4 linked regions of the Pelodiscus sinensis genome follow. The protein of the gene in region 3 interacts with the protein of the main gene of each other region in a pairwise test. Links are inferred from orthologs where the notes say so. Each region holds a gene or a part of one and is shown on either strand. Other genes may lie near its edges. The genes, in order: UBL7, AP1B1, AP1G1 and AP1S2.

Evidence for each region.
Region 1: the proteins of AP1G1 (region 3) and UBL7 interact in binary tests that used the Homo sapiens proteins (3 or more experiments, as listed by UniProt). The two-hybrid records come from large-scale screens. The link is inferred for Pelodiscus sinensis from reciprocal best matches to the Homo sapiens genes AP1G1 and UBL7.
Region 2: the proteins of AP1G1 (region 3) and AP1B1 interact in a two-hybrid assay, tested with the Homo sapiens proteins (2 studies listed by BioGRID, with this or other methods). The link is inferred for Pelodiscus sinensis from reciprocal best matches to the Homo sapiens genes AP1G1 and AP1B1.
Region 4: the proteins of AP1G1 (region 3) and AP1S2 interact in binary tests that used the Homo sapiens proteins (3 or more experiments, as listed by UniProt). The link is inferred for Pelodiscus sinensis from reciprocal best matches to the Homo sapiens genes AP1G1 and AP1S2.

What each region holds. Positions count from the first base shown.
Region 1 is NC_134724.1:35,548,878-35,556,055, forward strand, and holds the start of UBL7 (ubiquitin-like protein 7), read left to right. Parts: upstream 1-4,163; 5' UTR 4,164-4,297; coding exon 4,298-4,349; intron 4,350-4,656; coding exon 4,657-4,878; intron 4,879-6,116; coding exon 6,117-6,236; intron 6,237-7,178. Other genes in the region: actin, cytoplasmic type 5, read right to left, coding at 2,409-3,539.
Region 2 is NC_134725.1:5,452,330-5,460,172, forward strand, and holds the start of AP1B1 (AP-1 complex subunit beta-1), read left to right. Parts: upstream 1-4,840; 5' UTR 4,841-4,936; intron 4,937-7,843. UniProt on the Homo sapiens protein: Subunit of clathrin-associated adaptor protein complex 1 that plays a role in protein sorting in the late-Golgi/trans-Golgi network (TGN) and/or endosomes.
Region 3 is NW_027466015.1:561,262-568,932, reverse strand, and holds the start of AP1G1 (AP-1 complex subunit gamma-1), read left to right. Parts: upstream 1-4,668; 5' UTR 4,669-4,979; intron 4,980-7,671. UniProt on the Homo sapiens protein: Subunit of clathrin-associated adaptor protein complex 1 that plays a role in protein sorting in the late-Golgi/trans-Golgi network (TGN) and/or endosomes.
Region 4 is NC_134711.1:211,493,027-211,500,933, forward strand, and holds the start of AP1S2 (AP-1 complex subunit sigma-2), read left to right. Parts: upstream 1-4,905; 5' UTR 4,906-5,113; coding exon 5,114-5,119; intron 5,120-5,547; coding exon 5,548-5,726; intron 5,727-7,907. UniProt on the Homo sapiens protein: Subunit of clathrin-associated adaptor protein complex 1 that plays a role in protein sorting in the late-Golgi/trans-Golgi network (TGN) and/or endosomes.

The sequences.
Region 1 (7,178 bases), on a different chromosome or scaffold from region 3:
CCTGTATCAAGTGCCTACCAACCACTCCTGCTACAGTTGGGAACAGAACAGCAGCCTCCCCTTCATCTCCTCCCCCACCCCAATAGAGTTGTTCACCGAGGGTCTGTCTGCACAGCAAAATTTCAAAATAATTTTCCTAGCGTCTACACAGCCAAACCACTATTTCAAAATTAATTCGAAATAGTAGAGCGCTTATTTCAAATTTGGTAAACCTCATTCTGTGAGGAATAACACCAAATTCGAAATAGCTATTTCAAAATAAGTGCTGTGTAGACACTTATTTCAAAATAGGGGGCTTCCAGCCTTCCCAGGGTGCCCTGGTGGCCACTCCGGCCTCAACCAAGAACACTTCTCTTCCCCCCCCCCCCCCCCGCCCTTAAAGAGGTAGACTCTGGCCCCGACCCAGTGGTCCCAAAATATGAGCCAGCAAGCCACTGGCAGCCAGCCCTCCACCGCTCCTCACAAGCAGTCTGCCAGCTTTCAAGACCTGCCAGGACTCCGAGAAGACAGGTACCTTTCTGGTCCAGGGTGGAGATCATGGACCTTATTCCCAGGAGCAGGTTTGCATGACAATCAAGTTGGTCTGGCATGGCCACCTACCCTGAAAGCCCCCCCACCCTTCCCCCTTCCAGCTCTGCCTCCTTTCCCCAGTTTCATTCCCTCCTCCCCACTTGTTAAAGAGTTTGTGTTCATGAAAATGTGTATTTTGACATAAGGAAGGGAGGGGTAAGTGGAAGGATGAGGGAGGAATGAGGCACAAGCTCCCAGGCTGTGTCTATACTGCACCCCTTTTCTGGAAAAGGGGATGCAGATGAGACAAGTCAGAATTGCAAATGAAGTGGGGGATTTAAATATCCCCCGCTTCATTTGTATAAACATGGCTGCCACTTTTTTCTGGCTCAGGGCTTTGCCGGAGAAAAGCACCAGTCTAGACGGGATCTTTTGGAAAATAAAGCCTTTTCTGAAAGATCCCTTATTCTTCTTAAAATCAGGAATAAGGGACCTTTTGGAAAAGGCTTTATTTTGGTCCAATAAATAGACCAGCAGCTTGAGTCAAGACTGCCAGGTTCTGCTTGGCTCTACAGGGCAAGCTCAAGCAAGTCATTTTCCCCTCAGTCTCATCCCCATTTTTGCAGGGGTTAAGACACCAGGTGGATAGTCTCAACTGGTGCTCAGGCAGGTCCATAGTTACTTTGCTGTATCAGTTCCTAAATGACAGGGACATAGAAATGTGTTTAAGCATTGTAGACTTTAATACAAAGAGTCAAAGTTTGATAACCAGGAACCACCAGGCCAGCACTTTAAGTGTGGCCTTATTCCCAGGCCAGCTGGCATTTGCTTAGGTTGGCTAGTCATTCCTGTCTAGACTGCTTGTAGGCAATGAAATATGGCTGAGAAATTCCTCATGGAATGATTCAACCCAGGGCACACAATGAGTGAAAAACCAAGGATATATGCTACCATATAAAATGAATTACGAGATTCTGCATTAACATGAGCTTTTTGCTCCTTTTCTCCCCCCCCCCCCCAAGTATCTGGAGTGCTTTTAGTCTGAAAAGGAGAGCAAATAAGTTTTACCACCAACCATTCAGACCAGCTCAAGAAGTGCCCTCCACCCCCATCAACTACTCAATTAACCAAGAGTTAACACCCCTAATTAGGACATCCCAGTTTTCTTGAAAACGACATATAGCTATCTGAATGGATGTCTATTGCAGGTTCTCGTATCTTAGTTGAAGTAGCAGAATGGACCTTTAAGTCAAAAAAAGGAAATTTTCAAAAAGCTAAAAAATGTTTACAAAAGAGCAGCCTAAAAACCCATCCTAATTCCACTTATTAGCAAGTTTCCCAGTTTTGACTCAGCTCACAGAAACAGTACCACACATTTTAAACCACAGAAATTTATTAGTTTGCCTTGAACAAGGAGCTGTCAATCGTATTACAGTTATCAGCTGTCGGGTTAGTTACAAATCTACTTGTGAGATGCCATTACATCAGAGTTACAGAGTAAAGCCAACAACCCTTAGCCTAGTCTCCAGCCCCAGGGAATTTATAGCTCAAGAGGGGAAAATAGAGGATCACTACAGCCAGCCACAGGAGAACTAAAGCCTAACAGGTAACTCTCTCTCTCTCTGCTAATACTGTTCACGGTAACCTTGGTCACACGTGCCCCACCTGTAACAGAGCTTAAGATGCACAGGGTATAGTTACTACACAGTACATCAAAGGAAGAGTCAAGTTAAACGTAAGGGGAGGCGAGTAAGTCAAACAATATTGGTCCAACATGAAAGGCTTTTTAAGGGCAAAGGTTACAAAGAACTACTCCATTTGGTAAATACATTGGCCCCAACCAGGATACCCGAAGTAACCCCATCGGCAGAGGCCGAGCGCACCTGCCGGGACCCTCTTTAGAAGCACTTGCGATGGACAATGGATGGGCCAGACTCATCGTACTCCTGCTTGCTGATCCACATCTGCTGGAAGGTGGAGAGAGAAGCCAGGATGGAGCCACCGATCCAGACGGAGTATTTACGCTCTGGCGGGGCAATGATCTTGATTTTCATAGTGCTGGGTGCCAGGGCCGTGATCTCCTTCTGCATTCGGTCAGCGATGCCAGGATACATGGTGGTCCCGCCGGACAGCACGGTGTTGGCATAGAGGTCCTTTCGGATATCCACGTCACACTTCATGATGGAGTTGAAAGTGGTCTCGTGAATGCCACAGGACTCCATCCCCAGGAAGGAGGGCTGGAAGATGGCCTCGGGGCACCGGAACCTCTCGTTGCCAATAGTGATCACCTGCCCGTCAGGCAGCTCGTAGCTCTTCTCCAGGGAGGAAGAGGAAGCGGCCGTGGCCATCTCCTGCTCGAAGTCCAGGGCGACGTAGCAGAGCTTCTCCTTGATGTCGCGCACAATTTCCCTTTCGGCCGTGGTGGTGAAGCTGTAGCCCCTCTCGGTCAGGATCTTCATGAGGTAGTCGGTCAGGTCCCGGCCGGCCAAGTCCAGACGCAGGATGGCGTGAGGCAGGGCGTAGCCCTCGTAGATCGGCACCGTGTGGGTGACCCCGTCCCCGGAATCCATGACGATACCGGTGGTTCGTCCGGAGGCGTACAGGGACAGCACGGCCTGGATGGCCACGTACATAGCCGGGGTGTTGAAGGTCTCAAACATGATCTGCGTCATCTTCTCCCGGTTGGCCTTGGGATTCAGGGGGGCTTCGGTGAGCAGGACGGGGTGCTCCTCGGGGGCAACCCGCAGCTCGTTGTAGAAGGTGTGGTGCCAGATCTTCTCCATGTCGTCCCAGTTGGTGACGATGCCGTGCTCGATGGGATACTTCAGGGTGAGGATGCCTCTCTTGCTCTGGGCCTCGTCGCCCACGTAGCTGTCCTTCTGCCCCATGCCCACCATGACCCCCTGGTGCCTGGGGCGCCCCACGATGGAGGGGAACACGGCTCGGGGGGCATCGTCCCCAGCAAAGCCGGCCTTGCACATCCCGGAGCCGTTGTCGACAACGAGGGCGGCAATTTCCTCATCGGCCATCTTGATTCAGTCTGCGGGAGACACAACGAGGGACAGAGGCGGGTTAGGGCCGCGCCCGGCCGCTCCCCCCGCCAGCCCGACGGAAGCGGCCGCGCGGGCGGCGGAACCAAGATGGAGGATCGGAAACCAGCGCGCGGCTCGGAGCCCGGAACAGGGCGGGGCCCTCCCTGGCGGCGGGCTCCAGCCGCGCTGCCGCCGGCCCCAGCGACGAGCCCCCGCCGGGCCGCAGCGGAAGTGGGGCGAGCACGCGCACATGGGCCCAGCGCCGGGCCCCGCTCGCCACCCGCCGCCCCCAGGACCCGGACACCCGCCAGCGCCGGGGGGGGGGGGGGGGGTCACGAGCCCAAAAGCCGCGGGCGGCGGGACGGGCCGCAGCGGAAGTAGTTCTCCTTCCCTTGCGCCCCGCCCCCCGGGCACCCGACCAGCCCCGGCCCCGCCCTTGGGGCACAGAAACGCCAGCCCGGCCCGGTACCTGCGGCTGCTCACTCACGACCGGCACCAGCTACAACCGCCGTCTCCTCCCACAGCCACCACGCGCTCCGCTTTATGCCCAACGGAACCGGAAACCCGCCGCCGTCCCCGCGCGCCCATTGGCTGCCGTGTTCCCGCCCCGCCTCTTTCCTCCCTCCCAGTCAGAACTGCCGGGCGCGAGCTAGGCTCGTGCCCCGCAGGGGAAGCCGCGCTGCATGCCGGGAGCTGTGGGTGCGCCATGTGGTAAGCCCGGGTTGGGTCTCGGCCTGTAAACTGCAGTTCCCAGCATGCAGCGCGCGGAGCCTGCCGGCATTTCCTGTTTCCGGAGACGGCGGTCAGGTGAGTGTAAACATCAGTGTCGATCCTGCCCCGGGCCCCCCGCTCCTGGCGCCGCTGGGGGGCGGGGCTTGGGGTCCGACAGAGACCCCCGTTCTCGGATCCCATGGGCCGGGGCAGGAAAGGCCCCGCCTGGGCCGAGCTGGGCTCCGTGGTGGGGCCCCCGGGCGATTTGGGTTCACGACCCCCCGTGTTGGGGACTAGGGCAGAGGCCCCAGAGCGGGATTCAGGGCGCGGCTGGGTGCAGCCCTCCCAGTGATGTCACCCCGCTGACAGGGTCTCACCTTGGTTTGTTTCCTTCCCTTCGCAGCCTCTTCTAGGTGGTTTCCCCTCCGCGACAGGGAGACGATGTCTTTATCAGAGTGGCACATTGCAGTGAAGCTGGCAGACCAGCCGCTGGCCCCCAAATCCATCCTGCGGCTACCGGAGACCGAGCTGGGAGAGTGCCCTTTGGGTGGGTGCAGCATCTCCTACCTCAAGCAGCTCATCACCGGAAAGCTCCAGGAGTCAGTCCCAGACCCAGAACTCATTGGTGAGTTGCTGCTTGTCTGCAGCACTTGGCCTTCTTAGGCCTGGGAGCATGACCAAATTTCATACAACAGTTTCAACTGGCTAGAGTGTCTTTGCTTCCAGTGTTGCTGTATATAATTCTAGTTATTATAGACACTTTAACCATCTTTATTTTCCAGGTTGGCTTGTAACAAATCCTTCCAAACAGGCAGGATTGTAGCACCTGTCTGTGCTATGAGATGTACTTTGTACCTGACACCAGTAGAACTCTGAGAGGTTGGACAGTTCTTTTAAACCGTGTGATCCTGTGAGGATGCATAGCCAGGCTGGTGTCCTCAGTGTCACGGTCCCCTTGCATTGAAATGTGCACATGATTATGCCATTGACTATTGAAGAGTTGCTACATCATGTGGCAGGCCAATGGTCAGGGCTGGATTAAGTCTTCTGAGGGTCTGGGGCTATTAGATTTTGTGGGGCCCCTCTAAGTTCCAAGGTGGGGCCAAAAATGAGGCATTCAGAGTGTTGAGGGGATAGGGATAGGGCTTTGGTTGTGGGGGGGTAAGGACTTCAGCAGGGGAGTTCAGGCTCTGGAGTGGGGTGCAGGAGGGGGCTCCAGGCTGGGCCCAAGCGGTTTGGAGTGCAGGAGGGGCTCAGGGCAGGAGGTTGGGGTGAGAGTGCAGTGTTTGGGCAGGAATGGGTGCAGTAGGGGAATCAGGGCTGGAGCAGGGGGTTGGGACACAGGTCACTTACCTGGGTCAGCTCCCATTTGGCACAGATCCAAGGGAGAGGAGTGGGCAGGTGGGTCTGAACACTGCCCTGTGCTCACTTGCAGGCCCTGCCCATTGCAGGTCCCATTGACCATGATTGCTGGCCACTGGGGCTGTGGGGGTGGAGTCTGCAGGCGAGAGAAGCGGGTGGACAGAGCTTCCCTGCTCTTGCAGCTCCAGCTTGGCGGGGTGGGGGGGGCAGATGGCAACATGCTCCCCCCCCCCTTTTGCTAGACAGGGATGGAACCCAGGGGCTTTAATGGCTGCAGCCTAGGGCTAAGGAGGGTCTGGAAAAAAATCTGCCTTTTTGGTGGGTTGGCGATCGTTTTGCGGGGCCCCTCCTTAGCCCAGGGCCTGAGCTGCAGCTCCTAAAGCCCCTTAATCTAACCCTGGGGATGGCACACCTGGAACAGTACTTATCCCATACAGTCCAAGGTAGGGGGCTCTCTATAGGAGCAGCCTGTGTTCTAGATCTTTGCTTTCTCTTTCTCAGATCTCATCTACTGTGGCCGCAAGCTGAAGGATGACCAAACACTTGATTTTTATGGCATCCAGTCAGGCTCCACTGTTCATGTCCTGCGCAAGTCATGGCCTGAGCCAGATCAGAAACCAGGTGAGAGAGAGGATGCCTGGATGTGGACTCTTCACTGTGTAGATGTGTGGTGCTGATCCCTTAGGGTACGTCTAAACTACATGGCTCCGTTGACAGAGCCATGTAGATTTGTTTTTTTGGCAAAGGCAAATGAAGCCGCGATTTAAATGATCGCGGCTTCATTTAAATTTACATGGCTGCCGCGCTGAGCCGACAAACAGCTGATCAGCTGTTTGTTGGCTCAGCGTACTAGTCTGGACACTCCCCTGCCAACATCAAAGCCCTTTGTCAGCAGCCCCGGTAAACCTCATCCCACGAGGAATAACGGGGCTGCCGACAAAGGGCTTTGATGTCGGCACAGGAGCGTCCAGACTAGCACGCTGAGCCGACAAACAGCTGATCAGCTGTTTGTCGGCTCAGCGCGGCAGCCATGTAAATTTAAATGAAGCCGCGATCATTTAAATCGCGGCTTCATTTGCCTTTGCCTATAACCCTAATCTACATGGCTCCATCGATGGAGCCATGTAGTCTAGACACAGCCTTATAGTTGAGACAGGGGCACATACTCCTGCTTGCCTCTTGTAGGGTCCCAGGCGTAGTGGAAGGAGGAGAATTCCTTCGGATTGATCTGGTGTCTTCTGTGAAAACTCCAGCTTCAAAGGAAGGGGAGCTCCCTGTGTCTGCTTCATGCTGACATGGGAACTGTGAAAGCATCCCCACTGCGCGTGGAGACAGAACCCTTAAAAGAGTTACAGTCAATTACACTGGTTCTGTTGAGGACCAAAATCCGATCATTCCTTTTACTCTCTTTAATCTGCTTTGGGAGCCTTCAGTGGTCAGCATCGCACCAGGTAAATTAAAGCAGCGACACTGAGATTGCCGTAACAACGAGGAGTCCTGTAGCACCTTAGAGATAAACAGATTTATTAGTGTCTAAGGTGCCCCAGGACTCTCTGTTGTTTT
Region 2 (7,843 bases), on a different chromosome or scaffold from region 3:
CACATTAGTTATACAAGTAAATAGAAATCAAGTCTTTGGTTAACCCCAAAGGGAAGTATTCCTCTGTCCGTGGTATGAAACCCTTTAAAGAACCAAACACTGGTTACCAAAACTCCCCTCGCTTCCCCTCCCTCTGGGGGGCTGGGTTTCCAACAGCTACTGGCTGCATATGGAGAGGAAAGGTTGCAGGGAAGGAGGAGAGCAAAGCGCCAGTAAGAGCACAGGCCCTCCCCCGGTACACACAACCACATACACACTGCAGCGAACTGCAACCACAGGCAGGGACCTCCAGCCCAGCAGCCAGTGTCAGGTGCCCCAGAGGGAGTGAACAGAACAGGGAATCCTCACGTGATCCCTCCTGTGGCCCCTTCCCAGCCTCTGACAACCAGAGAGAAATAGGCACGTTAGCCCTGTCCATCCTGGCTAACAGGCATTGATGGGCCTGACCTCCATGAATCTAGCTAGCTCTTTTTTGAACCCTGATAAAGTCCTGGCCCTCACGTCCTCTGGCGAGGAGTTCCACATGTTGACTGGGCACTGTGTGAAGAAAACCTTCCTTTGGTTTGTTTGAAACCTGCTGCCTATCCATTTCATTGGGTGACCCCTCATTCTTATATGATGGGAACAAGTCCAGAACCTTTCCTTATTCACTTTCTCCACACCAGTCATGAGTTTATAGACCCCCCCATCATAGTCCATGTAGTCTCCTCTTTTCCAAGCTAAAAAGTCCCCGTCTTGTTTCTCTCTCTTCATATGAGACCTGTTCCAAACCCCTCATCATTCTGTTGCCCTTGTCTGAACCTTTTCCAATGCCAAGAGATCTTTTGGAGATGAGGCGACCACATCTGCACGCCGTATTCAAGCTGTGGGAGGCCTATGGGTTTACATAGAGGCAATAAGGTATTTTCTGTCTTATTCTCAATCCCTAGTGAGTCCTGTAACTACACCAGCACCTTCTGAAACTGACCTTGGGGCGGGCAATGCCTGTGAAATGGCTTCACCACCACAAGGAATGGCAATGGTTGTCCAGGGGCCCGGCCAGGCCGCTCCCTCTGGGGCCCCTGGCATTGGCCACTGTGGGCAGACAGGACCCTGGGCTTGATGGACCTTTGGTCTGACCCCGTCTGGCTGCTCTGATGTTAAATAAATTGGGACTCAAGGGGGTCCCAGCTCTTCCACCGCTGCATTTTCCAGGCTAAGCGTCCAACAGTGCGGCATAGAGGCGCCTGACCCTGCGGCACGTGGGGCTGCCTGAAGGAGTGCTGCCCGGTCTATCCACCAGATCGTACCCTTCTGGCCAGGGGGAGGACAAGGACTCTTACCCTCACAAAGGGCTTTCCAGCAGCATCCCTAGGGGTGCAGTTTTCCAAACGGCAGTGAAGTCAGCGACGGCAGGGCAGCAGCCCCTTCCTTTGCACATCCCTGCCCCGGTCCCAGAGGGGGCCCTGCAGAAGAACAAAGAAAAGGGTCACGTGAAAGAGTGTTGGGATTGAAAGTTTAAGCATAACAAGAGCTTGGCTCCTTTTGGCCCCTGCAATGCCTAGAAGCCAGCTCTGCTCTTCGCCGGCCTTGGGGCGAAGGGAGGGGGAAGGGGAGAGAATCTTGATATACCCAAAAGGGAGGCAGCACCTTTGGCTGCATGGATGCAAAGAACTACCTAGTTCTTATGAAAAACAGACATGAGGGGTCTGAGCAGGAGGCAGGGGAGGAGGGGCTGGAGAAAGGGCTGAGCATGGGGCACTTCAAGGGGGCTGAGGAGGGCAGGGGGAAGGGGCAGAGGGGTTCCCTGCTGACCCCGAAGGACTGGCCCTGGACTCCGACAGTGGAACCCGCATGAGTGGGGTGGCCGAAGGTGCAGCCCTAAGCCCCAAGGCCAACCCCGAGGGTCCGTGCCCCTGGGTCTGATGATATGGCCAGAGGATCCAAAAAGGCCATTGGGCAGGCAGCTGTCACTGTGGGGGCCGAGTCTGTGATGGAGACAGACTGGCCTTCCTTGAGTGGCACTGCGAGCAGGATCAGTGCTGGGACCGGTGCGGAGACCTTGACCAGCGTCACTTTGAGGAGCCGTCTGAAGATGCCCTAGATGTCATCAACTCCATGTGCGACTGAGGAGCACTCGGATGTGGACCACGGCAGTGCTGCAGAAGCTGCCTGCTCCCAGTGCTGGCAGTGGTGTGGCATGGCCGCCGGTTTCCCTCAGTGCGCCGGTGCCGAAGGGGGCAGTCACACGCTCCGGTGCTGAAAGCATCGGTGCCGGGAGGGCTGCACTCTGTACCAGCCCCGGTTCCTCTGTGCCATCACTACAGACGGTGCCGGACCAGACTTCCACACCGGTAGAGGAGGAAGTGGCACCATCCTGTCCCTGTCGCTCCTGGCCCCTCCGCACCACACAGCGTCGGGCCCAGGGAAGATGTAAGTTCAATCTATTCCCGGGCCGCCAGAAACAAATCCGGGGTTGACGGCTGTGGGACCCCTCAGGGCTACTCGCCTGCGCGGGACTCGACCTGTACCGATGGTGCGCGGGAGCGGCAATGGAGCCTCGGGGCGTCCCCCTCGCAGACGCAGCCCCGACCCGTCTCGAAGGTGATCTCCCTCTTCGTGCCTTCTTTGAGCGCTCGGTGCTGGGGACCGTGTGTCGCCCCAACGCACAGAGTGCCTCGACATGGACCCATGCCCCATGCCGGCCCGGGCGCTCCTCAGACGCTGGCTGCGGTGCCGCGGGTTAAAGCGCTGAAGTAACCTGAGTCTGGCGTCGCTCTCGTTTAGTCCTTGGTTGGAAGGTCTTGCAGACCCTGCGGGAGTCCGTTCGATGACCTGCGCCGAGGCGCTTCAAGCTCTCCTCGGGGGTCTCCGCAGGCATCGGGTCAGGCACCGCACGGCGTGAAGCCCTGGGCCCGGGGGGGGGGAAGGGAACTGCCTAGGGACTGCGCAAATCCACACAGGAGCCTCCCCGACACGCCTGTGGGACAGTACGGACACCGGTCAGAAGGGCTCGGTGGGCTCCTGGGGCGAGAGGAGCAAGGGGGGACAAGGGGGGGCGGGCTGGGGGGGCGCTGACCTGCCGGCGCCGCTCGGGGGGGGCTGGGGGGGGCGCTGACCTGCCGGCGCCGCTCGGGGGGGGGGCGGGGGGGGCGCTGACCTGCCGGCGCCGCTCGGAGGGAGGGCCGGGGGGGGGGGGGCGCTGACCTGCCGGCGCCGCTCGGGGGGGGCGCTGACCTGCCGGCGCCGCTCGGGGGGGCCGGGGGGGCGCTGACCTGCCGGCGCCGCTCGGGGGGGGGCGGGGGGGGGGGGCGCTGACCTGCCGGCGCCGCTCGGGGGGGGCGGGGGGGGCGCGCTGACCTGCCGGCGCCGCTCGGGGGGGGGCGCTGACCTGCCGGCGCCGCTCGGGGAGAGGGCCGGGGGGGGGGGCGCTGACCTGCCGGCGCCGCTCGGGGGGGGGGGGGGCGCTGACCTGCCGGCGCCGCTCGGGGGGGGCCGGGGGGGGCGCTGACCTGCCGGCGCCGCTCGGGGGGGCCGGGGGGGGCGCTGACCTGCCGGCGCCGCTCGGGGGGGGGCCGGGGGGGGGGGCGCGCTGACCTGCCGGCGCCGCTCGGGGGGGGGGCCGGGGGGGGCGCTGACCTGCCGGCGCCGCTCGGGGGGGGCCCTGGGGGGGGCGCTGACCTGCCGGCGCCGCTCGGGGGGGGCGCCGGGGGGGGCGCTGACCTGCCGGCGCCGCTCGGGGGGGGCCCTGGGGGGGGCGCTGACCTGCCGGCGCCGCTCGGGGGGGGGCCCTGGGGGGGGCGCTGACCTGCCGGCGCCGCTCGGGGGGGGCGCTGACCTGCCGGCGCCGCTCGGGGGGGGGCCCTGGGGGGGGCGCTGACCTGCCGGCGCCGCTCGGGGGGGGCCCGGGGGGGGGGCGCTGACCTGCCGGCGCCGCTCGGGGGGGGCCCTGGGGGGGGGGCGCTGACCTGCCGGCACCGCTCGGGGGGGCCCTGGGGGGGGGCGCTGACCTGCCGGCGCCGCTCGGGGGGGGGCCCTGGGGGGGGCGTTGACCTGCCGGCGCCGCTCGGGGGGGGCCGGGGGGGGCGCTGACCTGCCGGCGCCGCTCGGGGGGGGCCCTGGGGGGGGCGCTGACCTGCCGGCGCCGCTCGGGGGGGGCGCTGACCTGCCGGCGCCGCTCGGGGGGGGCCCTGGGGGGGGCGCTGACCTGCCGGCGCCGCTCGGGGGGGGCCGGGGGGGGGGGCGCTGACCTGCCGGCGCCGTTCGGGGGGGGCCCTGGGGGGGGCGCTGACCTGCCGGCGCCGCTCGGGGGGGGCCCGGGGGGGGGGCGCTGACCTGCCGGCGCCGCTCGGGGGGGGCCCTGGGGGGGGCGCTGACCTGCCGGCGCCGCTCGGGGGGGGCCCTGGGGGGGGCGCTGACCTGCCGGCGCCGTTCGGGGGGGGGGGGCGCTGACCTGCCGGCGCCGCTCGGGGGGGGGGGGGCGCTGACCTGCCGGCGCCGCTCGGGGGGGGGGGGTCCGGGGGGGGGGCGCTTCTCCCGCAAGCAAGGGCCCGGGCGGGGGGGGGCAGCCGGATCCCGCGCGGGGCCCTGCACGTGACGAGCAGCCGCGGCCGGGCCCGCGCGCCCAACGGCCGGGGCAGAGAACGCGCCGCCCCCAGCCACGCGCAGCGCAGCGCCCCGCCCCCTCTCGGCTGGGAGAGAGGCCCGACCGTTCAGCCCCCGCCCCTCCTCACTTGCCCGCCCGCGCGCGCTCCTGCCCCACGTGACGCCCCGCCCCTCCTCACCTGCCCGCCCGCGCGCGCTCCTGCCCCACGTGACGCCCCGCCCCTCCTCACCTGCCTGCCCGCGCGCTCCTACCCCACGTGACACCCCGCCCCTGCCCCGGAAGTGCTCCCCGCCCGGGCGCTCACTTCCGCGGGGCCGCTGGAGGCGCAGGCAGCGCAGGGAGCCGCGAGCGGTAGGTGGGGGGGCCCCGATCCCGGCCGCACGCGCCGAGCCGAGCCGTCCTCGGGCCAGTGCTGCCCCCGGGGGCTCGCCCGAGCGGCTGCGGCTCCTTCGCTTTCCCGCTCCCGGCGCCGCGCTGCGGGGGCTGCGGGGCCGGTGGGTCGGGGCTGCCTGGGCGACAGGCGGCGACTCCCCGTCCGGGCAGGGCCGCATCGATCCGCCTCCTGCGGTCACATCTGCGGGCGAGCCGTGCGCTCCTGCGCGGCCTCTCCGGCTTTGCTGCAGCGCAGGCTGCCCCGCCTCCCCCTGCAGGTGTCTCCCGGCGGCGGGGCCGGAGGCTACTGCTGCGACTAGGGATGTAAAATCCCATGGGTTAAACACTATCCAGTGCCCCTGCCCAAGCTTGCTGAGGAGGGGGGCTGCCCCACCTCCTGGCCACGGCCCCACCGGGCTTGAGCAATTCCCTGCTTGCTCCTGCCCCTGCCTGTTATCCATAGCCGGTAAGTATCCCCCAGTGAGGGCGATGCTTACTGGTTAACTGGTTATATCCCCAGCTGTGAGCCCTGCTCTCTGCAGGGTTTGGGGGCTTCTTTCCCCATTCCCACTTGTGCTTTTCTGAGGACTCAGGCCACCCCCTTCTCAACAGCTTCCCAGAGCTGAGGGCAGAGCAGCTGGTGGATTTGGGGAGCTTGATCGTTACGGGAAGGACTGTGTCAGTGGAAAAACTGGTGTCTGGGCACGCGAGACTCCATGCTCATGTTGGAGAGGGCTAGACTTGTCCCGTGTAGAAATCCGTTGACCTCAGCTGGGCTTCTTGGGGTATAAATGTGGCTTATAGGCTGCTTTCTCACAGCTGCTGTGGTGGGCTCTGCATGCCACTGGAACATGGCACTCGCTACCTGCCTTACTCCAGCAGCAGAGGCATGGGCTGCAAAGTTGCCAGTCGGCAAAGCGCTGGTTTGGGAGAGGAAGTGCCCTGTGTGTATGTTCTGTGGCAGCTAACGCTACTGAAGAGTTGGTGATGGCAGAAAACTGGCACACTCCGGCTCAGCTAGTGGAACTGCCTGCTAGAGGTGTATGTTCTAGGGATGTTAAATTGCAGTTACTCAACTACAGTAGTTGATGGAATTTCCATGAACTACTCGATTAGTTGATGAAGGGGGAAACTGCAGAGCTGCAGTGGGACCCCTCTACAGCTCTGCCTTTTAGATGTATATTAAGTGCCGGATGCATTTAAAAGGCAGAGCTGCAGCAAGGGGAACCAGGCGAGAGCCGGGACAGCTGATTCCTGGTCCCCATGCTACGCCTCTGCCTCCCCTGCCCCCCAGGCAGCAAGGGTGGTGGAAGCGACTAGTTGAGTCTCTGCATGCTTATCAGGTAGTCGACTAGTTGCTTACATCCCTAGTACGTTCTGCTGTGGCTGGGCTCCTCCCCTGCTCACCTTCTAGGATTCCGACAGCTCGTCGGATGCGGGTCAGATGTAACTTGATTTCGCTGCCACCCAGAGGCGTGCATAGCAGCACGGTCTAGGGCAGCTGTTCCTTGATCTGAGGGCTGGCTGGGCTTGCCTCCTCTGGCTGATGGGTTCAGTGGTGCTTTAGAGACCACTGCGCTGTGGTGCCTGCCCTTTACCTTGTCTCTGAATGCCTGGAGGTCGGTGAGGCCTAGGAGACCCTACTGTTTGTATTGGAGTCCCGGTGTGCTAGATGCTGCCCACACACAGTAAGTACTACAGTCCCTTCCCCAGAAAGCTTATGGTCTATGCAGATAAATCGAAGGATTGCAAGGGAAACTGAGGCACCGAGCTTTACTGTGACTTGCTGCAGGTCAGGGGCAGAGTCAGCATTCCACTGTGAGTGTTCCACTTGTTCTCACTAGTGTGCTAGAAGCGGCTTTCCAAGCGGTCTAATCGCCATGTTTGTGACTTCAGACCATCTTGCTTGTCCTCAGATGCTCACTTCTCTCTGCCTCTCCTCTCTCTCTGGAAAGTCAGCACTGTCGTCATTAAAAGCTCAACATCGTCCACCGTAAGCTCTGTTAACCCTCTGCCCCAAACAGCCAGGCTGTTATTCAGCAGAGTTCCTAGAGTGAAACCTGAGCTTGTGGTTTGTGGCTCCCACCTGACTTGTGGTTTCTGGTTTGTGAGCAACACAAACCTCTGCAGCCTAGAGTCACAGAGCACCGAGTTCCCTGCTGCTGTCAGGGCCACCACGGCGCAGGCTCAGCAGGAGCTCTCGCAGCTTGGGATGGCAGTCGATTGTTAAAGAAACTGTAACCGGGCACTGGAGTTGGGGCAGGGCTTCTCATTTGCCTCTGGGGTAGAAGGAGCCCTGGAATCTCAGGGTCACTGGCTTCTTTCCATCATTCAACTTGACTCCCAGAATTCCTGGCTTCACATTCTAGCCTGCTCAAGTAGCCGGGACCAAGTCTCGGGTCACAGCCATGTTGTCAGGGTTGAGGCTTGGCTGCTTACAGCCTTGTCCAGGTGTTCTGGAGAGGAGAACAGAGTTCCACTAAAATGAGTTGCTTTAAAGTTTGGTATCCGTCTGTTTCCTTATAATGCGCACGTGTGGCCCCCTTCTGTGACGTAGTGGGGGTACTTGCTGGGCTGTGGTGACCCCTGCTGTCTGGAGCAAGACCCAGCAGGGAAAACCTCACTATGCAAAGGTGATGCCAAACTGGTTGAACCAGATACCCCCCATGGAGAGGAACAAAGGAAGGTGAAGGCTGCCCTGGCTGGGGGGGCAGGGCTGGAGGAGAGTGAGTTTAGTTGGTGTCTGGGAGCATGGAGGAGACAGCCTAGGGAAAGGGACTGGAGTTTAGGGGTCCAGTCTCCCCCATCTCAAGGGGGCCTGAGGCATCCTAGCCCAGCTCTGTGACCAGATTCCATCTGTGCTGTGCTGTATCCTGGAGAGGCAAT
Region 3 (7,671 bases):
AATTCCAGGAGGAAGAACGCCTTCTTTCGAAAGTGCTCTTTCGAAAGAAGGCGTTCTTGAAAGCAAACAGGCTTTTTAGAAAGAGAGCATCCAGACTCACTGGGTGCTTTCGAAAAAGCAGCTTGCTTTTTCGAAAGTTCCGCGTGCAGTCTAGACGCGCTCTTTCGAAAGAGGCTTGCAGTCTAGACATAGCCTCACACAGCAATCAGAAAGGCCAGGAACTGGGTATTCAGCTCAGAGGGTTTGAACAGACGCTAATCGTAAGCCATGTTTACTAGCAGGCTGTAGCCACTTCCCCTTGCATTGTCAGCTTCCAGCTGTTCGTAGTCTGGGAGTACGGGGAGTTGTCACTCAGACCTTGTCCCCTGCCCCTGGGGAAACAGCGGACACCCTAGCAGCCAGCCTGGTCTCTGCTGAGCAGCGCTCCCCTGGACCGAGTCAGGAGATGGAACAGCTGGCTGCAGAGCCCCGTTATTGCATATTCTGGAATCTTCCCAGAGTTTCCCTGTGAGCCCGGCAGGGAAGATGTGCCTGAGGAACCCAGGGGAGGCTGAGGCTACCAGCTCTCCTTCCCTCTGTAGTGTAACAGCAGAAACACCTTATTGCTCTGGCAACTCTCCCCCTTTCCCCCACCAAGACAGAAGCCCTGCAGACAGCTCAGGCTGGAACCTCGTGCAGGTCATCCCATCCTGCAAACCACAGAATCCCAGCAGGCTCTGCCCTGGGCTCCTCCACACGCACTCCTCTCAGCTTCTCCCACACTTACCACCTCCAGACTTTTCTGAAACCTGCCGGGACGCAGGCCTGCACTGCTCCCTTTCCCTTCCCTGCCTCCAGAGCAAGTGCAGTGTCCTAGCTAGTACTCTCCTGCCTCCTGTTATCCCTGCACCCTAACTCGCCCGCCTCCCTATGAGGCCCTGTGGTACAGATCCTCTCTGCACCCCCCACCCCCGAGCTGATCACATCCAGGCTGTAAGACACGAAACATTCTCACTCCACCACTGGGTCCCCCACACTAAGCCCCCGTTGGGCTGAGGCTGATTGCCCCACACCTGGACGGGGGTCAGAGGTGAGCAGGCAGGGGAGACTGTCCCTCTTGCTGACGGCCATTGCATTGGGTCAGGGTCAGGTGCAGCCTCACCGCCAAATCCGTGTTTGGGGGCGGAGGGGAGGGTTGCAGCATGAGCTCCCACTTCTGTTCAGACCGGTTGTGGTGACAGCACATGCCCATGTAGATAAGGCCTGAGTCCTAGCTTCAGTGAACTCTCTTTTGTGGAGCCTCAAAGACTCCGGCTGGTCAGACATCTGCTGCTCTGACGTCTCTCCTAGGCCACTCCCCAGAGTATCTCAGAAGTGTGATTGTAGCATATGAGTCACTGGTCACTTGGCCATCTTCCTTTTCCCCACCCGGGGAGGAGGTGTGTGTGTATGGGAGCTGGGGCTGAGCCCAATCCTCCCTTAAAGGGCCAGACACATGCTGTCAAAGAGCAGTATCAGTCTCAAAGCAACAGGGATGGGCAATAAAATGGCGGCAGTTTGCCAGGGTCAGTCCATGGCGGGCCACTGCTGCTATATTTTCACCAATTGTCTAGGAATGGCAATCCATGCCCAACCGATATCTGCGGAGGCACAGGTAAATATAGTGGCAGTGGCCTGCCACGGGCTAACCCTGGAGGGCTACGTCTACACTGGCCCCTTTTCCGGAAGGGGCATGTTAATTTCACCTATCGTCGTAGGGAAATCCGCGGGGGATTTAAATATCCCCCGCGGCATTTAAATAAAAATGTCCGCCGCTTTTTTCCGGCTTTTAAAAAAGCCGGAAAAGAGCGTCTACACTGGCCCCGATCCTCCGGAAAAAGCGCCCTTCAAAGTAGGAATAAGAGCCTCTGGAAAAGGGCGCTTTTTCCGGAGGATCGGGGCCAGTGTAGACGCTCTTTTCCGGCTTTTTTAAAAGCCGGAAAAAAGCGGCGGACATTTTTATTTAAATGCCGCGGGGGATATTTAAATCCCCCGCGGATTTCCCTACGACGACTCATGAAATTTACATGCCCCTTCCGGAAAAGGGGCCAGTGTAGACGTAGCCGTGGAGTGTATTTGGCCTGCAGGCCTGTGTTTGCCATCTCTGCACAGCAAGCTGGTGTTGTGAGAGAGCAGGGTTGTGGGTCCAGAAAGGAAGATTGGGAGCAAATAATTTTTTTACATTTATTGTTCTCACCTAGCAGAGCTCTCCAGTGGCTTTCCTATGCCATCACTGCAGCTGTCCTCTGCTTTAGCTCTTTCTCCTCTTTCCCTGCCTCCCTCTCACATCTTTCTTGCCCTCCTCCATCTGCTTTTACAAACTCTACTTTCTCTGTCTCTGCCACAATGCCTGTGAAACCCAGACAACTGCCAGTGGGTAGGCAGGTGAGAAGGCTCTTCTTTCCCTGTCTTTAGTCCAATTATAGAGAGAAAGGACCAAAATGAAAAACCATGCCCAGTATGCATAATTAATCAAACAGAGACATTTGTTTGTGTGTTCTATTTACACCTCCTACTATTCACATTTGTGTTATTAGATTGTAAGCCCTGCAATTAATGCCTTACAGATATCCTTCCAAATACTGTGTGATCAAAAGCTGTATTCAAAATTCCATAACCCCAGTCCCTCCCCTGTATGAACTCTGAGACCCAGACTCTGGCCACCCCATTCCAGTGAAGCGGGGAAAGGTTTGAACCCAAGAATTTCTTATTATGAAACACATAAATAACAGAACAGAAAACACATATTCCACTGGCAGTTTTGCTGATGTTGTGCATGAATTCAGTGTGCTAAAAATAGGCAGCCATGGAAATTCTGAATCCCAGAGGCGCAGAGCAGGGTTCCCTGTAAGCTGTGTGGCCACAAAGCTGCCTAACAAGCCCCACGCAGGGGCTCAGGGCTGTTATGCATGGAGTTGCCACAGCTGAGGGAGAGAAGCCTCTCCCTTAGCCATAGCAGCTCCCTGCTGGGCTGGAGGAGAGGTGCATTCCCCTGACCCCAGGAGCAGAGCCAGATTAAGAAAGATTCTGAGCTAGCCCTTCCTGGTGGGATAGGAGACGCCTCCGTGTGCTGCTGGGAAACTGTCCATTCACTGCCCTCGTTTAGATGCTCCACCTTGTCACTCCCATTGGCCAGGAATTGTGGCCAATTGGATCTGTGGGGGGATGGTGCCTGTAGTTGAATGCGGAGACATCTATTCCCGCCCGAAACGGGAGCTGCTCCAGGTAAGTGTCCTACACCCCAACTCCCAGATCTGAACTCTCTCCTGCGCTCCAAAACTTTTGGCCCCTGTCTGGAGTCTCCTCTTGCACCCCAAATACCTTATCCTCAGCACCAACACAGAGCCTGCACTCCAGCAAGGACCCTCAATCCCCTCCCACACTTTGAACCCTTCAGCTGCAGCCTGCCACCCATGGTCCATATGCAGAATAAATGTTATGTGCACCAATATGGAGGTGATCTGAAGAAGTGGGCTGTGCCTACGAAAGCTCATGATCCCATCGACATGTTTCGTTAGTCTATGAAGTGCTACCAGGTCATTGGTTGTTTTCTGTAACACACTAACTCGGCTACCCCCTGAAGCTTCCTATCGCCATCTTGGTGCACATAACAAAATTCATTCTGCACATGGACATACAAGGTGAGAGGTATGGTCGCCACCACCGGTGACGTTGGCGCTAAAAAGTGTCTCTGCGAAGGGCGGCCAGGTGGTACCTGCCTAAGGCAAAGCCCCACACGGCAGGGCAGTCCCATGAACTCGGGCCAGCTGGACACGCTGCTGGCCGGAGTCATTCATAAGAACGGCCGTACTGGGTCAGACCAAAGGTCCATCTAGCCCAGTATCCTGTCTGCCGACAGTGGTCAGCACCAGGTGCCCCAGAGAGGGTGGACCGAAGACAATGATCAAGTGATTTGTCTCCTGCCATCCCTCTCCAGCCTCTGACAAACAGAGGCCAAGGACACCATTTTATCCCCTGGCTAATAGCCTTTTATGGACCTAACCTCCATGAAATTATCTAGCTTCTCTTTAAACTCTATTATAGTCCTAGCCTTCACAGCCTCCTCTGGCAAGGAGTTCCACAGGTTGACTACACGCTGTGTGAAGAAGAACTTTCTGTTATTAGTTTTAAACCTGCTACCCATTAATTTCATTTGGTGTCCTCTAGTCCTTATGTTATGGGAACTAATAAATAAATTTTCTTTATCAGCCCTCTCCACACCACTCATGATTTTATAGACCTCTATCATATCCCCCCTCAGTCTCCTCTTTTCTAAACTGAAAAGTCCCAGTCGCTTTAACCTCTCTTCATATGGGACCCGTTCCAAACCCCTAATCATTTTAGTTGCCCTTTTCTGAACCCTTTCCAAGGCCAAAATATCTTTTTTGAGGTGAGGAGACCACATCTGTACACTGTATTCAAGATGTGGGCGTACCATAGTTTTATACAGGGGCAGTAAGATATTCTGGGTCTTATTTTCTATCCCTTTCCTAATAATTCCTAGCATCCTATTTGCCTTTTTGACCGCCGCTGCACACTGCGTGGACGTTTTCATTCCAGGGCCGGAACCTTCCTTCGCGGCGCCGGGCGGGCCCGGGCGCATCTCGCGGCAACACTCCGAGCGGGCACGAGAAGGTGTCTGACGTCATCATTGCCTGCCACGGCGCCGACTCAGCGCTCCTCGAACAGGAGTTTCACAGCTGCTTCCGCCTGGAAAAGTAGTTCCCAACGGCCGCTGTCCCGGTGCCCGCGAGCGGCCCGCTGCCCGGGAGAGCGATCGGCTGGGACCGCAGTGCCGGCGGGGCGCCCTCCCTCACGAGGTGGGGCCGGGAACGGCGAGGAGCCAGTCCCCGTCCTGCGGATCCCTACGCCTGCGGTATCGGTGCTGAGGCCGCGGAGCCGCCATTTTGGATGCCTGGCTCCTGCTACCGCCGCTTCCTCCGCTGCAGGGACCCGGCCCGGTGAGTGGGGGCGGGGGCGGGAAGGTCCAAGCGGCCCCGCAGCGCCCACGGCGGGACCCAGGCCCCGGCCCCCAGCGGCCCCGCTCGGCTCCCCCCCCCCCCGGGCTGGGCCCGTATCCCGCCCCCCCCCCGGGCTGGGCCCGTATCCCGCCCCGCTCGGCTCCCCCCCCCCCGGGCTGGGCCCGTATCCCGCCCCGCTCGGCTCCCCCCCCCCCGGGCTGGGCCCGTATCCCGCCCCGCTCGGCTCCCCCCCCCCCGGGCTGGGCCCGTATCCCGCCCCGCTCGGCTCCCCCCCCCCCGGGCTGGGCCCGTATCCCGCCCCGCTCGGCTCCCCCCCCCCCGGGCTGGGCCCGTATCCCGCCCCGCTCGGCTCCCCCCCCCGGGCTGGGCCCGTATCCCGCCCCGCTCGGCTCCCCCCCCCCCCCGGGCTGGGCCCGTATCCCGCCCCCCCCCCCCGGGCCCGTATCCCGCCCCGCTCGGCTCCCCCCCCCCGGGCTGGGCCCGTATCCCGCCCCGCTCGGCTCCCCCCCCCCCGGGCTGGGCCCGTATCCCGCCCCGCTCGGCTCCCCCCCCCCGGGCTGGGCCCGTATCCCGCCCCGCTCGGCTCCCCCCCCCGGGCTGGGCCCGTATCCCGCCCCCCCCCCCGGGCCCGTATCCCGCCCCGCTCGGCTCCCCCCCCCGGGCTGGGCCCGTATCCCGCCCCCCCCCCCGGGCCCGTATCCCGCCCCGCTCGGCTCCCCCCCCCGGGCTGGGCCCGTATCCCGCCCCGCTCGGCTGCACGCCCCCCCCCCCCCCCCCCCGGGCGCAGGGCCCCGGCCCGCTGGGGCCCTGGGCGCCGCCTCCGCCCCCCAGCGCCCCGCCGACAGCACCCGCCTCGCCCCTCTCAGCGCCTCTGGGTCCGCGCTGCGCCCCCTCAACTTCCCTGCAGGCAGCCGCACCGCCCCTCTCCCCGCACTGCCCGCACCCCGTCCCGCTGCTCTGCCCCTTCTCTTGATCTCCTGGAGTGGAGCCTGCTGCTCTGGCCCTGCTCTTCGCTGGCAGGTCGTTCGCCCCTGCGGCCCCGGGGTGGCAGCTCTCCTGTGCTAGCCCTTGGGGAAGAGCGCGTGTGTGTTCCTTTGGGGTGATGCTTGTGCACAGAGGGTAACACTGCACTCCTCCTCCTGTTTCCGAAGGTGAACGGAGTACTCTGCAGCTGTACTGCTCGAGGAGTTTTGTTTGTGCATAGCCCCATAATTATATCTATCTAGCTCTTGGCAGAGCAGACTGCCACAGTCCTGCCTAGACCAATTTACAGCAAGCTGCAGGTGCAGACTTTTGCTGCTGCTTCTTTAAGGGTTTGTTTAATTCTTTTTCAAATTATATGGCATTAGTTGTTGCTCGGGTGCTGATTCTTGGGTGTGGATTAATGCTTAAGTCTTTCCCAATATCAGACTTTGTCACTTTATACATTTTGATTTTTAAATGCTGTGGTGTTGTTTATTGCTGCACTTGATGTGTGACATGCTTGATGAAATGCTGTAGAAGCACTATGTCCTTTAAAGTGCTATATTGTCCTGCATTTTGCTTCAACTACCCCAGACTAACACGGCTACATTTCTATCACTATGTCCTTAGGAGAGATGGTGTATTGAGCAGAGCTTGACAAATGGGCTTGAAAAATATACTTGACACCTGCTTGCTTATTAGTCAGTGTGAAAAGTAATTCCGCTACCTTGGTTCCCTCCAGACCAAGCAATGCTGTAGTGCATTTTCACTGTAGTGAATTTTAAGTCAGTCTTCTATTTAGCATACTTTTACATAATAACTTTGTCTCCTGTTTGTATATTAACTTTTTTCCTTTTCTGGCTTCACTCCATTTTTCTCCCCTCTTTTCATTACTATATTATAGTGTATATTTTCTGGTTTTAATTGTCTGTTTTCTCTTTTCTTTCTCTTTTCCCCTCCCGCTACATCCCTTTCTCTCTTCATTTACACTGAACGCGCTACTGTTTGCACTTCAATTTTTTTCGCACTCAGTTGCCAGATTTTCTCTCATTTTCCTCACCCAAACTCTCTGCTGATCCATTCCCTCATCTACGGATCATGAAAACTTTATCAGACACCAAAGAGCTGGCAAGAGAGCTCAAATAAGATTGGAGACCCTGCTCTTGTCACCCCACAACACACTCCCTTTTCTCTCTCTCCCATATGCTGGGAGGGGAGGAGGTATTTAAATTACTAGAAAGACATGATTCCTGAATGTTTAGGAACTCCAAGTTCCCACTAGTAGGCTTATGATGAATTTGAGACTTCACCCAATAATCCTTTTCTTTTTCACATTCCTCTGCTTCCAACACAGTCCCCTGTCTGTTCCAAGGATAGGGTTTCTGCTAATCTAGCCCTTGCCTAGCTGCCTCCATGTTTTGGTGTCATAACTTCCCATGCTGTTGCTCTTTAGACTTGCCAAACAACAGAGGGACTATATATGATTCTTGTCAGCTTCATTGTTGCTCAGAGGGTTCTGAATAGCAGCAAAGGAAAACTGCTGAGACTGGTCACTTGTTACATCCTAGCTAGGCAAAGCTGTGAGCAGAACAGGAGGATTGGAGCTGTCAGTCTGCAGACTTATAAAGGAGTGCGTAAATGGTTCAGATTTGGAAAATTATCTTTGAAACCATGAGTACGAGAAACTTTTTAAAATGAATATTTTAAA
Region 4 (7,907 bases), on a different chromosome or scaffold from region 3:
GTTTGGTGAATTATACAATTACAGAGGCTTACAATATAATTTAATACTACAGGCTACAGATGTAGTAAGTAATACGCACAGCATCCTACAAGCATTTAACCAAATCCAAACAAACACACTCTTATAAACTTCACATCTATATTAATAATGCTAACACACAGGTGATCAGCTATGTATTTGTCACTGCTCTGAGGGCTAATGCCCTCGGCATGAGCTGGCATCTGGTCTGTCAGTATCAATCTCTCCTGTTGAAGCTATTTCACTTTAAGGCTACATCTACACTGGCACATTCTCACGCAAAAACTCTTTTGCGGAAGAGTTCTTCTCCGAAGACTCTTCCAAAAGAGATCGTCTACACTGACATGTGCTTTTGCACAAGAGCATCCATGCCAGTGTTGACGCTCTCTTGCGCAAGAAAGCTCTGACAGCCATTTTAACCATAGGGCTTTCTTGCACAAGAAATCCATGTTGCCTGTCTACACTGGCCCCTTGCACAAGAGGGCTTATTCCTGAGCTGGAGCATCACAGTTTTTGCACAAGAAGCCCTGATTTTATACAGTAGAATGTTCGTTTACTCACACAAGAATACATGGCCAGTGTAGCCAGGCAGCAAGTTTTTGCGCAAGAGTGGCCGGTTTGGCACAAAATCGCGCCAGTGTAGACACAGCTAAAATATCTGACTCCATGAGAGGGGCTCTCAGGTCTGGATCACTAGCAGAGATAAGGACCTCCCTGCATCCAGGACTAAACTGAGATAGCACATCTACATTAGTGAAGCTTGTCTTTTGAGGCTTCCCTGAAGTGTAGATGTGCTATTTCAAAATAAATTATTCTGGAATAGCTTATTTTGAAATAAATGTGCAGTGTAGACATAAGTGCCTACCCCAGGCTTTGTGGATCCTAGTCTTGCTCAAAGGTTTTCAAGGCACCCAAAAGTTAAACACCCGTTGTGGATGTTGTCTTCTTCTTTGTAGTCTTCAAGCTTGTGATCAACTTTTCTGTCGAGTTTGGCTTTACACATTCCTTTCCTTTCATATGTTAGGTTCTAGACTAACAATTGTCATCTCAATATTAGAGATGAAGAAAGTAAGGCACAGAAAGGTGTGAATAATTTGGTCAACAGTAAATCACTACTAGAACTAGGGATTAGATTCCAGTTTTTGCTCTAACTGCTACACATCATTCACTTACTTGCCAATAGCTTTAATTGCTTTAGAAAGCATCAGTTTTTATATAGTCTTTTTTTTACTACTGTTATTAACTACGTAAGTTTAATAAATTACATGCTTTTGGAAAGAAACAGTTGTAGCAGCAGAAGTTGTTACTCCAAACACTATTTGGAAATGTTTCCTGCCATTTCATAAGATGTTGTAATCAAAAGTACTTGAGAAAAATTGCAAATATATTTCCCTTTCTGTGCCTTACTTTCTTCATCTCTAATATTGGAGGGGGGGGGAAGGACAATTACTAACAACTGTAGTGTTGAAATTTAAGTTGTTTGTTAAAGCACTTTGAGTTGCTTATACAGAAGTTTCTTTAGAAGGTCAGCCAGTACATTCTATCATCCCCATTTTTACTTTCTCTTATTCCTTCTGTACTGAAATTTTGTATGTAGGTTCTTAACTAAAAAGGTGTGAAAGGGAGGGGAGAAGAGGGGGAGGAAAAGAATTTGAGTTGTTTGAGCTATGTGATTATGGAAAAAACACTTCCCCTCCATACACTAATCACTATCATAAATTTTGCAGTCTGATATAATTCAAACCTCTGACCAGAGGCCTTACAATTACAGTAAAACTCTGATAGTCCGGCATCCAACTGTTCAGCACTCCTGATAATCTGGCATCAAAATGCCAACTGCTCCTGGCCAACTGATTAAAAAGCCTGCCGCTCAGCACATGTGCTGGCTGTAACCAGAGGGAGCATAAGGTTGGGGGAAGGAGAGGGGAGAGAGAGAGTGGGATCCTGTTACAGTATGGAGAAGAGCATTTTGCTTCAGGGAAGGGGAAAGGAGAAGGGAGGGGAAAGGAGATTGTGTCCTGGCCAGCTGTTAAGCCCTGCAGCTGTACCGGAACTCCCGATTCTTCAGCGAATCTGATAATCCGGCACCACGTTGGTCCAAAAGGTGCCAGATTATTGGAAGTCTACTGTACTTTTTGAAGCTCAACTGTCATTCAAAAAGGTGACACAAAAAGTCTGTTGAGTAGGTTTTAAATTATGCATGATTAAATTCAGCAGTTTTGCACATGGACACAATCTAGTCCCAGTTTTGCAGACTCATTGCAGCTATGCATTTGTTTAAAAAAAAAAAAGCACACACACAAAACCCTAAGCCACCCCATTTATTTCACTAAGGGTTTGTCTAGACTACATGGCTCTGGCGACAGAGCCATATAGATTAGTTTACTAGACATACTCAAATGAAGCAGGGATTTAAATAATCACCACTTCATTTAAATTAAAATGACTGCCACACTGAGCTGATCAGCTGTTTGTCAGCTCAGCGCGCTAGTCTGCATGCTCCGTGGTAGACATCAAAGGCATTTGTCGACCGCCCTGGTAAACCTCATCCCACGAGGCATTTGGGTATGTCTAGTAAACTAATATACATGGCTCTGGCAATAGAGGCATGTAGTCTAGACATACCCTAAGACAGTGGTCCCCAACTATTTGAAGCTGCTGGGTGCCAGGGGGCAAGGCCATTCGCCTGCTAGGCGCCAGAGAGCAGGGACACTTGTGCACACGGGGGCACGCATATGCCACACCTCCCCATGATCCACGTGCCTGGGGCCAGCAACCCTATGTGCCACGTGGCCACGGGTGGGGCCGCCCATTTGCAGCAAGCCTAGGGCCAGCACTCTGCAGAGCCATGCACCCAGGGCCAGCACCCCCCCCATAGCTGTGTGCCCAAAGCCGGCACCCCCCCCCATAGCTGCGTGTACAGGGGCATGGATGCCAATTTGCCGCAATACTGGGGCTGGCGCACCCTACAGCTGCATGTCCGGGAGCTGGGGCAGCCAATTGGCCACGCTCCTGGGGCCAGCACTTCCCATAGCTGCACGCCTGGGGGCCGGGATGGCCAATTCGCCATTCGCCTGGGGCTGGCACTCCCCATGCGCCATGAGCCTGGGGCCGGCTCCAGCACTGCACATGCGCCACACGGCGCCAGCCCCGAGCACTCGGCGGGAACACACAAATGCCCCAGTGGGAGGACCATTGCCCTAAGGGACTCACAAAACGTGTAGATGGTACCTTGAGTTTTCATGGGCACAGCCCCCTTCTTCATATGAATTGGTTTGAAGAAGAGGGGTGTCCCCACAAATGCCCATGCTAGCAGCTACACGCTTTGTTACTCTCTACGGTGCTGCAAGACTAATCCTTGTTTTTTAAGTTTTCCCAGTTACAGACTAACTCGGCCAGCCCTCTGCAGCCTTTGGAAATGGCCAGTTGCCCTGCCTTCACCCTGAACAGCCACTGAGAAACCCCTGAGGCAAAGGATTCAGCTTCCTCCTTCCCCCACCCATTCACACCAGCCTCCCCAGGCTCCCGCTCTGGAAACACCCGCAAGACTCTATCAGCTGCCTAATAAGTTTCCCTTCGGGATGAGTGGCGCATGCGCAATAAATACCCCTGGCTCAGCCACTTCCGGCTCTGTGGTAGCGGAATTTATCTCCAGCTTCCTGATTGACTGATGTCATTTTCCTATCTGCGTTTCCGTCGGTGATTGGATACCGCAAATAAAGGCTCCGTCTTTGATTTTTCTGGTTGGTTGCTGGACTCTCTTTTTCACCCCTTTTGTGGTCCCGTCTCGATGATTGGCTCCTTTCGTTCCCTCACGCCCTGCCCAGAGCGCCCGGCTCGCTCATTGGCAGCTGCTAGGCTACCTCCCGGCCTGCCTATGCGTCCGACTCGCTGACTGGCTGCTCCAACCGCTGCCCTCCCACAGCCGGGTGCGCGCAACTCCCCCCGCCCTTCTTTCCCTCGCGCGCGCGCGCGCGCCTCTGTTCGCCGAGCTACTAAAGTTTTGCGGAAAGAAACTGCTCGCTCCTGCCCCCTCCCTCCCGGGCTGCTCGCCGCGCCCGGCCCCTCCCTCCCGGCTCGAGCCCGCCCTGGGGGCGGTTGTTTGTTTCTCGCCCAGCTGCGCGCGCGCCACGAGCTCGAGCCGGAGACTCCCGGAGGCTCCCTCCGCCCGCCCCGCGCTTCTTGCCGCCGCCGCCGCCTCCTCCTGTGGGCACGGTAAGCGGCTGCGGGCCCGGCCGCGAAGAGGCGTTGGGGTGTCCCCTGGGGGTGGGGGTGCTGCTCGGGCAGGGACTCCGGGGTATAGACCCCCCCCCAGCCGCTCGGCGCGTGTGGCCCCGGGGAGTTAACGGGACCGGGGGGGGGGGGGGCTGCGCAGGGTTCTCTCCTCCCGGTGTGTGCGCGGCGGTAAAGCGAAGCCACCTGCCTGCCCCGGGCCCTTCTGCCCGGCCGGGGCGTGCTCCGGGCCCGGCTCGTGGCGGGGGGGCCGAGGCGGTGCTTTGCCCCCGGGCGGCTCCGTTTCTGCAGCCGCTTGGGACCGAGCATCCTGCCTGCCCTGCCTCCGGGTCGGGTTGAGGACTTGGGGAGAAGCAGACCCGTCCGACAGGGGGGTGCTGGTGCGGCCCCTCGCTCTTCCATTCAACAGACCTCAGAGGCCAAACAAAAAAAAAACCCCAACAAAAAACAGAAACCCCCCCAAAAACCCCCCAAAAGTACGTTCGGTCCCATCATCGCAAGAAAACGCGCTGCAGATAAGTGGTTTCTCAAACATCATAGTCCCATCACACCGTGTGTGTGGTGGTGGTGGGGAGGGGGGGGCGTTGCGACCTGGCACAGCGGTCCTTAGCCGGCCTCTTCATTTTGTTCCATTTTCCTTGTTGGTCATACGGGGAAAAGGGTTGCCTCCTCCTAGGATGTTAGGAGTCTTAATCAGTGTCTTGCAAGCGCTTTCACACACTGGAATAAATTAACAATGGTGTGGAAAAAAGTGTTCTTCATTCAATGCCTATAAGCTAGTCGACAGTGAATTTAGATTTTGACGTTAGGCAGGTGATTGTGCATTTTTTTTCCATTTGTCTACAGTGGAACAGCTGTGTTGATGACCGTGAGTATCAGCAAAAATATGTGAATGCGCTAGTGCTGAACATGGCTAAAGCTGCAAGCACAGACTTATGTGTTCAGCATCTGGTGACATTAACCTCTGTTTTTGAAATTCCTGAACACTGTTTCTTTGTCTACATGTTACTCTTGAACATCTTCACTGTTCAAACTGTTGTGGACATCTTATCAACAGTGCTTCATTTTTCTATATAGAACATGCTTTAGTTAAGACAGTGGTCACCTCTTAAAATATCTTGTAGATAGCTTTAGCATGTCAGTCTTTGATACATCTCATTTTCAATTGTGTTTGGGGGAATATGTGGTTATCTTTTTCTACATTAAAATATTTTTCAACCAATGAAACTAATTTTAAACTATTTGCATTCAGTACAGCTGATCAAATAATTACACTTTTATTTGTTAATTCAACAGATGCAGTTTATGTTGCTTTTTAGTCGTCAGGGGAAGCTGAGACTTCAGAAGTGGTATGTCCCATTGTCTGACAAAGAGAAGAAAAAAATAACAAGAGAACTTGTTCAGACAGTGCTAGCTCGTAAACCGAAAATGTGCAGCTTCCTGGAGTGGAGAGACCTGAAGATTGTCTACAAAAGGTGGTTCTGCCTCACTAAGCTTGTAATTATTAGATGTAAAAAATAATAATAGAAGTGGTATGTTTTCTCCCTTACTGGTTATGAAAACAGGCTCATTTTGAGCTTTTTCTTAGATCTAATTTGATAATCTAATAGGAAGCATTCATGTGTAAAGAGCACTCATGCGTTTAGAAATGTGCTGAAGAACAGAGATTAGATTTTCTTAAATTTGAGAGAATGATTCTTTCTGGTTCTGTGTTCAGCACTAAGTAAAACAAGACATACAAATAGGAAAACATGTATGATTTAATGGATATTTAGAATGATTAAACTCTATGTAAATATGTTTATCTCCAGCAGTGGATGATTTAAATTGGTTTCAACATAATTGGTTCTAAAAGGCCTCATATATATGAATAAGATTAGATTTTTGCTATCAGTAAAAAAATATTTTTTCACTTTGAGAAATCAAGATCAGTTTTCTATGGGTGAAAATACTATGCAGTTTTCTTAGAAAGCTCTCTTTGTATCTGTTTACAAGCAAAATACTAAGGTGGAATGTTTTGATTCTGCAGACCTTTTGAATGTAATACAAAACGGCAGTGAAATTGCTTTTCTCCAAAAATTACAGTAATTGATAATTCATTGAGATGAAAGAAATAAATGCATCCTGCCAAAAGCTAATTTTATAAAAGGAGTTTCATTCTTTCAGTTTTAATATTTAAGTAGGAAAATCAGGGAACATCAGAGGTTTGTTTTTAGTATTTACTGTAATTCTTTCTTGGGCTATAAATGTTTTGCTCTACTGTTGTTGACTTTTCTGTTGATAGCATAGATTTCTCCACCTTAAAAATGGAAATGAAATTATTATGTAAATAATATTGATGTATTGTGGCAAATAGTATAGCTATATTCAAGAAAGAATTTGACACTTAAGCCACGGTCCTGCCTTTTTGTAATTGTGTATACCTTTATTCATATCAGTCCTGACATTGATTGTCAGTCTAAAACATGTGAGTAAAGGTATGCTTATATTAGCAAGATCAGTGCCTCAGAATGAAAGAGGATATTGTATCACTTGAAGCATGCATATAGAATGTGTGCCTTTTATGTCTTGCTAATTGATCATGGAACATTTCTAGGCAGTACTTGAGAGAGGGGGTATGCATACATACTTTGAGTCCTTATAACCTATTAACAAAGATCTATAGTATCCATTGTAATCACTAGTTTCATTCTCCTCACCAACAGGTGGAATTAAGTTGAGGAATTTATTAAAACAATTGCGTTTGTAGTTTTTTTTTTTTTATGGAAAATTATTTGATGTTGGGGAAGTAATTTAATTTTTCCTTTGTTTATTTTTCCTTGTTTTTCTTCAGCTTTGGATAGTCATGGTTCTTGTGCAGCTCAAAGAATACTACTAAGAGGACTGTGTTTAAGTAGTGATAGATAAAAAACACTTAGGCTGCGTCTAGACTGGCAAGTTTTTCTGCAAAAGCAAGTGCTTTTGTGGAAAAACTTGCCAGCTGTCTATACTGGCCACTTGAATTTCCGCATGTAAGATTGTCAGTGTTCTTGCGGAAATGCTATGCTGCTCCCGTTTGGGCAAAAGTCTTTTTCCAAAAAACTTTTGCGCAAAAGGGCCAGTGTAGACAGCAGATATTTATTTTCCGCAAAAAAAGCCCCGATTGCAAAAATGGCGATCAGGGCTTTCTTGCGCAAAACCGCTTCTAGATTGGCACTAACGCTTTTCTGCAAAAAGTGCTTTTGCGGAAAAGCATCCATGCCAGTCTAGATGCTCTTTTCCGCAAATGCTTTTAACGGAAAAACTTTTCCGTTAAAAGCATTTGCGGAAAATCATGCCAGTCTAGACGTAGCCTTAGTCTGATAGGTATAAGTGTATTTGGCATTGGGAGAAGTACATTTTCCAAATATACTAATGAAAAGCAAATGGAATAAGCAACCTCTGGTGGCCCAAGAGCAGCCTTAAAAGGAAGCAATCCTTCATATTGGGAGAGGTTTTGTAGACTTTGTCATAAGCAGGTAGCCTAAAGAAAACCAGACACTCTATAGTAATTGACACACTTTGGCAAGAGTTATGATCTTCGTTAGCAAGAGATGCAAGTTTGATGATGCTACAGAGGATCCTGAACTAATCCGCTATCAAGTTCTGCCATCTATCCCATTTTTGGTGATAGTTTG